Arabidopsis thaliana: one gene and its partner. The protein of the gene in region 1 interacts with the protein of each later gene in a pairwise test. Each region holds a gene or a part of one and is shown on either strand. Other genes may lie near its edges. The genes, in order: AT1G64625 and PIF7.

What was found.
Region 2: the proteins of AT1G64625 (region 1) and PIF7 interact in binary tests that used the Arabidopsis thaliana proteins (3 or more experiments, as listed by UniProt).

Annotation. Positions count from the first base shown.
Region 1 is NC_003070.9:24,014,371-24,019,783, reverse strand, and holds AT1G64625 (Serine/threonine-protein kinase WNK (With No Lysine)-like protein), read right to left. Parts: upstream 3,129-5,413; 5' UTR 2,907-3,128; coding exon 2,812-2,906; intron 2,626-2,811; coding exon 2,536-2,625; intron 2,443-2,535; coding exon 2,379-2,442; intron 2,239-2,378; coding exon 2,197-2,238; intron 2,138-2,196; coding exon 2,048-2,137; intron 1,972-2,047; coding exon 1,195-1,971; intron 1,102-1,194; coding exon 1,000-1,101; coding exon of another isoform or gene 955-999; exon of another isoform or gene 927-954; coding exon 603-926; 3' UTR 513-602; downstream 1-512. UniProt on the Arabidopsis thaliana protein: Transcription factor that may regulate root development.
Region 2 is NC_003076.8:24,637,886-24,642,901, reverse strand, and holds PIF7 (phytochrome-interacting factor7), read left to right. Parts: upstream 1-2,136; 5' UTR 2,137-2,462; coding exon 2,463-2,464; exon of another isoform or gene 2,465-2,608; coding exon 2,609-3,029; intron 3,030-3,106; coding exon 3,107-3,211; intron 3,212-3,277; coding exon 3,278-3,343; intron 3,344-3,437; coding exon 3,438-3,821; intron 3,822-3,906; coding exon 3,907-4,029; 3' UTR 4,030-4,302; downstream 4,303-5,016. Other genes in the region: AT5G61260 (Plant calmodulin-binding protein-like protein), read right to left, coding at 4,303-5,016.

The DNA of each region.
Region 1 (5,413 bases):
AGCAATAGGAGTCGATCGCCGATCGGAATCGAGATCGGGAACAGAGGAGTGTGGCGGCCATCTCCGAGATGATGACGGTGGTGAGATGGTTCTGCGTTTGTGTCAGCGTCGTGTCTCTTATTATTGTTATTGGATAGAAGAAGAAGAGCATCTCCTCCATTCATCAACCATCCACCATTGCTTTTAGACAACGACCGATGAAGAAGCTTCAATTTCGCCACCAAATTTCACAAATATCAACAAAAATCAATTTCTCTCTCTCTCTCGAAACCCTAAAAACAGATTGAGGATTTGATCTTTGTTCAACTTTTTATTTATATACAGTGTCTCCCCTTTATCCTCGTCAAGGATAACGGGCATCTATTTTCTGATTCAGTCAGTTAACTGTTATCCACCCAAAACGGTGTCGTTACGTTCCTTTTTTCTTTAAATGGGCCTTCTTTCTTTGTCTTAGTCAATGTTTTAAAGCCCATACAATCTTCTTCTTTTTTTTCCACGAGCCCATACAATCTTCTTTGATGTAATGTTACTACTATTTATCAACAGATTCTTGTGTTGTTGTTGTAACAAAAAGAAAGAAAATCAAAGTGGTAGGTATTATACTATGATAATAAATCATCATGTTTGGTGTGGTGTTGAAAGAGCTGAACAAGTGAGTACAAGACTTGAATCCTTGTGACTTGTGGCTTTGCCTGTACGATGAAGTGTGCCCATATTTGTCCTTTTCTTGTTTCCATCACTCCTTTCAATATCTTCAATCCCAATCCTCTCACCACTTGTCCTATCTCCAAGAACTCCTCTCTTTCCTCACACACCATCTCTATCTGCATTTCTCCTTCCCTGTTCAATTCCTCCACCATTATCGGACATACCACTCCTTCTTCCCCCACTTCCAACGCCCATGTTCTCTCTTTCTCCTTCACCAGCTGATAAACATCATTCACTCATCAATACTCAAACACTTGTGTACTTACTGAATGGATATATTTGATTCATTACCTTAGACTCGTATGGTTGTTTGAGTCTCTCTGCATACTTGGCGAGGCTTTGCATGAACACCATGTGTTTTATGGTCAGATCCAGCAACGTATCTATGCTACACTGTTTAAATATATATCGAAACTTATTAGAGAATGCATTTGTTAATCTATAATTTGGATGCCCTAAACTAAACTATATTATTATTCAATTTACCTTAGCTCCATTTGGAATCATCCCTCGCAACTCCTTGATACGGTCTTGTATCATCTGACGGTCCTTAGGCCTCGGCCTCCTGCTTTCTCCTGCCTTTGCTCTTTTCTTCTTCACACCTTCTTCGTGAGGCTTCTTCCAGTTCCCTCCAATACTTGATCTCTCATCATCATCAATCCACAAACTCCGACTTGTTACTGTCTCCTCCTGAGGGAACAAGCTTGAGCTATGCGCCGATGATGTATCAAGCTTCCGTCTTTTGCTCTGGTTCACACCAGAGTACTCTTGCACGTTCGTGAGAGAACTACTACAAGTGTTGTTGCTAAGACTGCTGCTTATGAGCTCTGAGAAGAGTCCTTTAGGTGGCAAAGCCATTGTAGGCGTTTGAGAATTCATCCCCAAAATGTCGAAAAGATCCTTGTCAACTCCTTGGATCACCATGGAAGAGCAGTTCTGTTCTGGTGGATCAGCGAGCAGCTGGTATAGATCGTCCAGAGAGTAAGACTGGAGAATGTCGAACCCATAATCATCTCCATTGGTCAGATCTTGGTTGGAAGAAGCTGCTTCAGAGGAGATCATCTCAGGGCTGAGCAAAGAAGGAGGATTGTCCTCAGCGAAGATGTCATCAAAGCTAAATCCTTGAAAAGATTCAGCTGGGAAAATCTCACAATCTCCCAGTGACTCAAACAGAGTATCGAGATCACCGGAATCATGTGGCTTTAAACACGTCTCCTGGAGAGCTCTTGTTGTTTGTTCCAATATCTCTGTGCTCTCAAGAATCTAAAGATTGATAGTAAGTAATTAGACCATGACTTCCACAACAAGAAAACATTGTTATATAATTATATATGCAAACCTTTTGAGTAGATCCTAGCTGAACAACGCCGCTGGATCCTAGTGGAATGATTGCGATAGTCTGTGTATAAGTAAACTGCCGTATAAGAATCTGATTCAAAATGGATATATGAATCCTTAAACTTGGAGAGAAGACAAAATATAAATTACCTTAAAGCCACAGAGAAACTGATTCTGAAACTCATGTTCCCACTGCAAAACAATCAAACGCACGAATATCAAATCTTTTTTCTTCTTCATCATGAAATGTTCTATGCAGTCACTATATTTCGACATACATTATAGCTCACAGATGAGAAAAATCAAACACCAAGAAAAAGAAGTGAACAAACCTGAAACAATGTGTCTGAGAACAGCCATTGATGGTTTCCGGATGAAGCTACTTCTCCCACAATTCTAATTTCATCAAAAGAAAAGTATATTGAAGATATATAAACACAAACACAGAGACAGATATATAAAAGATTTGAGTGAAGTGTAAAAGCATACCCTTGGCCTAAGATAGGAGCCTGGAGAACCATATCATCAACTAGTGCGACTGATTGTTCATCATTGTATGCTTCTTCAAATCTCAATATCCTGATGGAATTCAACAAAACTAAATTACATTTATGGACACCAAAGTAGGGAAGCCACATATAAAACCAGAGGATATGCAATTCAGTCTTTTGCCTAAATCAACGGAAAACAAAACTAGTTTTATGCAAATATTATCCAAGACAGGAACATGCATATAACATTCGAAAGAAAAAAGAGAGAAATTACATGGAATTGATGGGATCATAACGCCAAAACACAGCATAAGACCATCCATGGCTTAAACAGAGACTCTTCAATATATGCTTATACTCTGAACCCATATTTAGGAATCCAAGCCGGGAAGAGCCCTTTTAATTTCTGCAGGATCTCGAACTCTTAAAAAGGACAACAACTTTTGTCTTCTCCAGAAACCAAACTCCAAAGATAAAGAAAAGCTGGAAACAGAGGAAAAATGTGGGTTTTTGAGTTTTCTCTTTTTTTCTTTAATTTTCTGCAGATAGAAAAAAATACAGAGAAAATTCCTTTGAGTTTTGCTTTTTGTTCAAGCAATTAAAAAGGAGTTAAGAGCTTTGTCTCTCTATATATATAACCAAACAATAACATGAAATGTTTGTAATTCGATAAGAAGTGGAAGAGCCTTTTTGTCTGAGGAATTAAATATATTACTATTATTTATTTGATGTGATTTGTCTGCCGGTGTCCAGTCACGCTTTTGTCCCGGAAGTGACGTGAATTACACCGGCTATTGCCGGTTTAGTGAAAAAGTTTGCTTTGATTACTATATATTTATTTGTTGTCTTTTGAAAAATTTAGGACGGGAGAGGATCTTCGAGGGTATAATTTCCATAAAGGGAGATTTTATTTTGATTTTACTTTTTATCATCGATTCATTAAATACTCGATACGAATTTATGATATACTTTAATAGTATTCAATATATTTAGATATGATTAATTAACTAACATTTGATGAAAATTTCTATAGTGGAAACTGGTGCAATGGAAAAATAAAAATGAGGAGAATGTGATCCCCACAACAGAGGAAGATAAATGGTGCTGTGGAGTTTCTAGCGATCATCTTCTCCCTCGTATCCTATATCTTGAACATCATATTAAAGCTTAACATCGACCGTTTTTGGTTGGAAAATATGGTTTAGAGTTATAAAGAAAGAATGACCGCCTCTTTAGTGTATGGGCCAATGAGGTTCCCAAAATATGTGTCACCTAAATCTTGAATTCTCGGTATGATAATCTTGACTTAAGTAGTTCTCAAATCTCGATCCACTGCCTCATATAATTATATCAACAGTCTAACACCAATGTCGTCAGCAGTCACATACATTCGTAGAGTATGCATTCATATATAAGCCAGATATATACATATCATAAGAGATTTGTTATACCTATATTCATCCAAATGTTTAGTTGTGGTCTCTTGTGGTACCAACCTAAAAAAAATAAGGTTATGCTTCCGCCTTAAGTCTTGAGAGCTACTATCTTTTTTCTTTAATATAACTAAACATCTTATTATTATCAGGAAACCATGCATGTTTAATTTTAAGTTTATATAGAAGATCACAAGCAAGGAAAAATGTGAATGTTAAATAGACTTGAACATTAGTTCATGAATAGTATTAAACGTGTTTTAATTTGTTACTTTATTACTTTATTTTAGCTATTTATTTGTACATGGTGCTATTTTGTACCTATGTTTTGAGTTTTCAATGGATTATTTATATCTTAAAACTTTATACTATATAAACTCTGATATCAACCTTCGAATTTCATGATTTTACTGAATATTACTATGGAAATACGATATAAAATAGAATTTAGAGAACATCAAAGGCATATATAGCAAACGTTAGAAATACATGCCTCAATATTTGAGACCCATTTTTGTTACTCGCAAGTCGCGCAACATCTCACACCACACATTACATGCCTAAGCCTAAGTGCCACAAATACATCACCTTTAAAAAAAAAAAAAAAAAACTTCTCGGCCTAAGCTAATGTACATGCACTTAATACACTTTTAGCTTCTTGATAGTGGTAGAGAATATCAATAGATATCCACAAATCTTGAAATGGAATAAGTGATTATAATTACATATCAAATGAAGAAAAACTCATCAATCAATTTATTTTTTGGGGTTATTAGAAATAGCCATAATTTGGTCTCTTATACTCATCACACGCTCAATCATGGCCGTTGAGAACAAAAGTCAACGGCATCAAGATTTTCACCTTAATCCTTTTTCGTCTTTAGTTGATTTATTGTCCCTTTTCGAAACTTTCCGTTCTTATTACAATTGTGTCCGAAAGTGGTGAAATAAATCCAAAAGTTGGATTTTATGTTGTACACTTGCTTTTTGTTAGATAAGCTATTTTAAAACTTTTCGTTAAAATATGTGACTAGAGAACATATTTTTCTGTCAAAAACAAAACAAAATTCCTTTATCGCTTAAAACTTAAGAGTAACTCTAACTAACTACCATTAGTCCACATATATATGTACTAAGATAGAGATAGTGTTGGATTCATACTTTTCTTTAAATTTAGAGTATTTTATTCATAATATACATAATTTTTGTTAGATTTGATAATATATTTTTACTATGACAGTTGCAAATATGTATTGTTTATGTGACAAATTCTTTATTCAATGAGTTGTGGAAAACAAGGTAAAACTTATTATATAATCCAATCATATTTTTAAAAACAACTACAAAATATTACGAATTTATATGTCATGGTTAACCGCTAAAAACTTCATCTTTGAAAGCACACAAAATTTTTAAAATCTTTTGCATTTGACTCTTAATTTG
Region 2 (5,016 bases), on another chromosome or scaffold:
TCTATATAACTTTCTCATAGTTACCTAGTTAAAAGTAGAACTCACTTAACTTGATAAATATGATGTTTTCTTCTTATATAAAAGCTATCTTTCTCACTTTGTTAAACTCGTGTGTTCTTGAAAGACTTAAGAAAAATAGAAACTTGAAATGAAAGAACACATGAATAGTTAACAAGTACGAATCCTTAAAATAAATCCTAAAAATTCTTCGGAAGATCCACTGATTAAACTTTGCTCAATCAAGCTTTCAATCTCTTCACTTTTTATCTACCTCTTTATCTCTCACACGTACGCACACATACATGAACACATGCATGTCCTCTGCTTTTATATTACAAAAGTGACGACTTTAGGATTCTAGCTAAAACTTGTTATGATAAATTGAAACCATATTAATATTCTTTAATTTTGATAAGTAACAATTGTTTTTCGGGTTTGTGTTGAGTTGCATAGGCAAATTTGTAAAGTCTCACGGAAAACTACGAGTGTTAATTGAAAGAGTACATTCAAATATCAAAAGAACATTGACAGTGACATTTAATTTTAATTTGTAGTTTAATGTATTTTTTATTTATTTATTTTTTAGTTTTATGTAAATCTATAACATCATTTGGTCAATACAGTCATTACCATCAACTAGTGATCAAAGAATAAGTTATCATAAATCAAATGATTAGCAGAAAACAATTGATGTGAAGAATCTAATTCGTATAAAAGAGAGTTTGAACATCAAAGAAAAAAAAAAGCTTGAAATTGAACAGATAACTCTGAGGAGCGTTAGGATTCGCTGTCAAGAATCTAATGCGAGAAGTTGATTGGCTGAATTTCACAGATCAACACTGGGTCCCAAAAAACCATCCAATAAGATCTTTCCACGTGTCATTATGACGACATCAGTTTTGAAGCTGTCGGCCGTAACTCGAGAGCGGAGTGGGTGAAATCACTTAAGATTTTGATGTGACATCAAATGATTGGGAAAGAAAATCTCACAATACAAAGGGGTTGATCCGTATTTATCCATTTCTCTGTACTTTATAGTTTTCGTATTCTTTTCTTCTGACTCAACATCACATATTTCATTCATATCAACTTGTTGTTCCACTACAAACAAGGCTTATAAGCCTCAACTTATGGTTGCAAGTTGTAACCAATCTGATACAAAAGTACTGAACCAATGATTGAAAAAGTCGTCTATTTTTACCTATTTACGTACAAAACTACCTAGACGGCTATGTATTAGGTAATCTCTGGACCAGTGCACATGAGGTCCTATAAGAAATTTAATAAGTGATGCTCCATTTTGAAGAGTACATATAAAAATATCTTAGATAGCAATATAAACACTAACTACAGTAAGAAATCAAAATTTGAAAAACATAATATGTCATTTTAAGAAACAAGTAAGAACAATCTTTGCTTCAATTATTCATGGAAATCAATGAGATATCTCTTTGAGAAATCTAAAAAACTTCTTCTTATTCTTGTTCTTCTTTCTCCCATGGTAGACTAGAAACTTTCTTCCCATACATTACTTTTTGTAAAATGAACTTCTTAAAAATGCTTTTCTTTTTTTTTTACTTTTTAAAAATGTTTTTATGGTGATCATATGAACAAGTCATTTGATATATTGTGAGATGGGAATGGACAGAGAAAAATTAAAGAAGTGATTAAAAGAGGCTGAGAAGTGAGAACATATTGATTGATTCCTAGCAACTTGCATCAAATATCTCTAGTTGATGCATCAACCTCACATCTCACTCTCATTTTTGACATTCGAATACCATACTATAGTTTCGGATTCTTACGTGTTTACTCCAATAAATATATCTTGTTTTCTATTCTTTAATGCGTCTACATATATGTATATATTTCAACTACGTTTATTATACTGTATAACGATAAAAATTTACATTTTTAAATAATAATAATAAATTCTATTATTAGAAATGTGTTTGTTTCTAAATCGGTGAATCACACGCTTTGCTTTGCTATGCTTTCTACCGAGTAGTCAAATGCATGCAATAACACATTCATGTCAATGTGAGTCGGTTGTGAAGAAATGACGAAAATGCCCTCATTTTATTAGTTTTTTTTTTCCTTAAGCAGGAGAGATGATTCTGGACTTGAGTGGCAAAACACAAACAATCCTTTGCCACACATGTGCTTCGTCCACATAAAAACCATTTGACGTTTTGCAGGGACCATTTTTGAGAAAGAGGAGACAAGAAGAGAGAGAGAGAGAGGCCTCTTTATTATAACTTTCAATATGGATCAAAGGCAGATACACCGCATGAGTTGTCGCTGTGATTGTCAAGAGTTTGAACACACAAAGAAGAAAGAAGAACTCAACATTTCAAGCAAGAAGAAAGAGAGAAGAGAGAAGGTCCAATAATAGAGAGAACAAAAAAAAAGAGAGCTTAATTGTCAGTTTATTCTCTGCAAACGTGCGGCCTAAGTAACACATGTATCTCTCTCTGTTTCTGATAAAGAACTCTTCTCTGTTTACACCAAAAAGAGACAAAACCTTACGCTTCTGTCCTTTTTTGTTTATCTCTCTCTCTCTCTTAAGTCTTAACACAAAACCAATTTCTTTTTTTTCGTGACTCAGGTCGAATTATGGAGTTAAAGAGCTCACATGGGAAAATGGGCAACTAACCGTTCATGGTCTAGGCGACGAAGTAGAACCAACCACCTCGAATAACCCTATTTGGACTCAAAGTCTCAACGGTTGTGAGACTTTGGAGTCTGTGGTTCATCAAGCGGCTCTACAGCAGCCAAGCAAGTTTCAGCTGCAGAGTCCGAATGGTCCAAACCACAATTATGAGAGCAAGGATGGATCTTGTTCAAGAAAACGCGGTTATCCTCAAGAAATGGACCGATGGTTCGCTGTTCAAGAGGAGAGCCATAGAGTTGGCCACAGCGTCACTGCAAGTGCGAGTGGTACCAATATGTCTTGGGCGTCTTTTGAATCCGGTCGGAGCTTGAAGACAGCTAGAACCGGAGACAGAGACTATTTCCGCTCTGGATCGGTAACAACTAACAAAATTACTCTTCCTTTTTTTCCTGAAAGATGACTGGAGAAATAACCAAAAGAGGACTTTAATAGGAAACTCAAGATACTGAAGGAGATGAACAAGAGACAAGAGGAGAAGCAGGTAGATCTAATGGACGACGGGGACGAGCAGCAGCGATTCACAACGAGTCCGAAAGGGTAAAAACTAATCCATCTTTTCTCTTTCCGTGATTACCAAACTACTGACTCTGAGTTTTGATGCAGAGACGGCGTGATAGGATAAACCAGAGGATGAGAACACTTCAGAAGCTGCTTCCTACTGCAAGTAAGGTAAATGTCTATCCTAGAAGAACCCACTTTTAAGTTTAAGAACTTTGTTTATATTGATATCGGTCAGTTTAAACGCGTTATTCGGATATTGCAGGCGGATAAAGTCTCAATCTTGGATGATGTTATCGAACACTTGAAACAGCTACAAGCACAAGTACAGTTCATGAGCCTAAGAGCCAACTTGCCACAACAAATGATGATTCCGCAACTACCTCCACCACAGTCAGTTCTCAGCATCCAACACCAACAACAACAACAACAACAGCAGCAGCAGCAGCAACAACAGCAGCAACAGTTTCAGATGTCGTTGCTTGCAACAATGGCAAGAATGGGAATGGGAGGTGGTGGAAATGGTTATGGAGGTTTAGTTCCTCCTCCTCCTCCTCCACCAATGATGGTCCCTCCTATGGGTAACAGAGACTGCACCAACGGTTCTTCAGCCACATTATCTGATCCATACAGCGCCTTTTTCGCACAGGTAAGACCGCTTTTAACTGTTTTCGAGAAAAGTGTTCAAAGATATACAAATCTTGAGCTCACTTCCATTGGCCATGCTGATGCAGACAATGAATATGGATCTCTACAATAAAATGGCAGCAGCTATCTATAGACAACAGTCTGATCAAACAACAAAGGTAAATATCGGCATGCCTTCAAGTTCTTCGAATCATGAGAAAAGAGATTAGTCTAGCGACCTAGTATTATTGATCCATATATATAGTTCTTGAAAGATTGTTGTATCATGATTGTAAAAACTGTTTTGAGTATGGAAAAAGACTTGCAGATAAAACTTGAAAGCTTCACAACTGAATTCAGTAACTGTCAAAGTACATTACTAAACCCTTTGCTATTTCGAGGACAGTAACAAGAAAATTATCTCTTGGTCGCTCTTGAAGTTTAAAATCTTCAATGTTAATAGATCATATGCACAAATAAACTTTTGTCTTTTTTTCTTTCTTTCATTGTTCGGAGACCAAAGGTCTAACCTTAGAAGCAGATGTTGTGGCCTTGCTCTGAGGTTTGTGAGATGTCTTATTAGTGTCCTGAAGAGAGATAACAGTTTCAAAAGCACCAATAAGAGCTTTCACTTTGTGCTTCCTCACCTTTGTTAGCTTATTCACTGTCTCCTCAATCACATTGTTAAACAATGTTATCATTTTCTTCTTCCCTTCTACTTTTCGATGCCTCAGAACAACTTTCTCACGTTTACTTCCTTCACAAGAATCTGTTTTCGTCTCAACACCCAATCTTCTATCTTTAAGATTCTTCTTCTTCCCTTCGGATTGCGTTTTCAGTTCCTGCACCACCCTCTTTTTGAACTTGATCCATCTCGGAGAAGAATCCTCGGGTTTAGGATCAAGAACCTTTCCTTTCTTGAAAGTCATCTGCTGAGCTAGACTCACCTTTACTCCTGTCTTCTTAGGCCTAACCTTCTTCTCCGGTTTTGGATTTGCTTCAACAACGTCTGCAGAGCCAGTTTCTTTCTTCTTAGTCAAACCGGTACTGATTTTACCAGGAATCTGTTTTGTAGGACTAGAACCACGTTTAGGAGTAGTACTCAAGCTTTTATTCCCACTTTTCATGGTTTTCTTCTCAGATGATGGTTGCTTTTCACTCTTAACACCTTTGACGCTAGATTCAACAACACACACAGTCTTTTCTTTTACATCTTC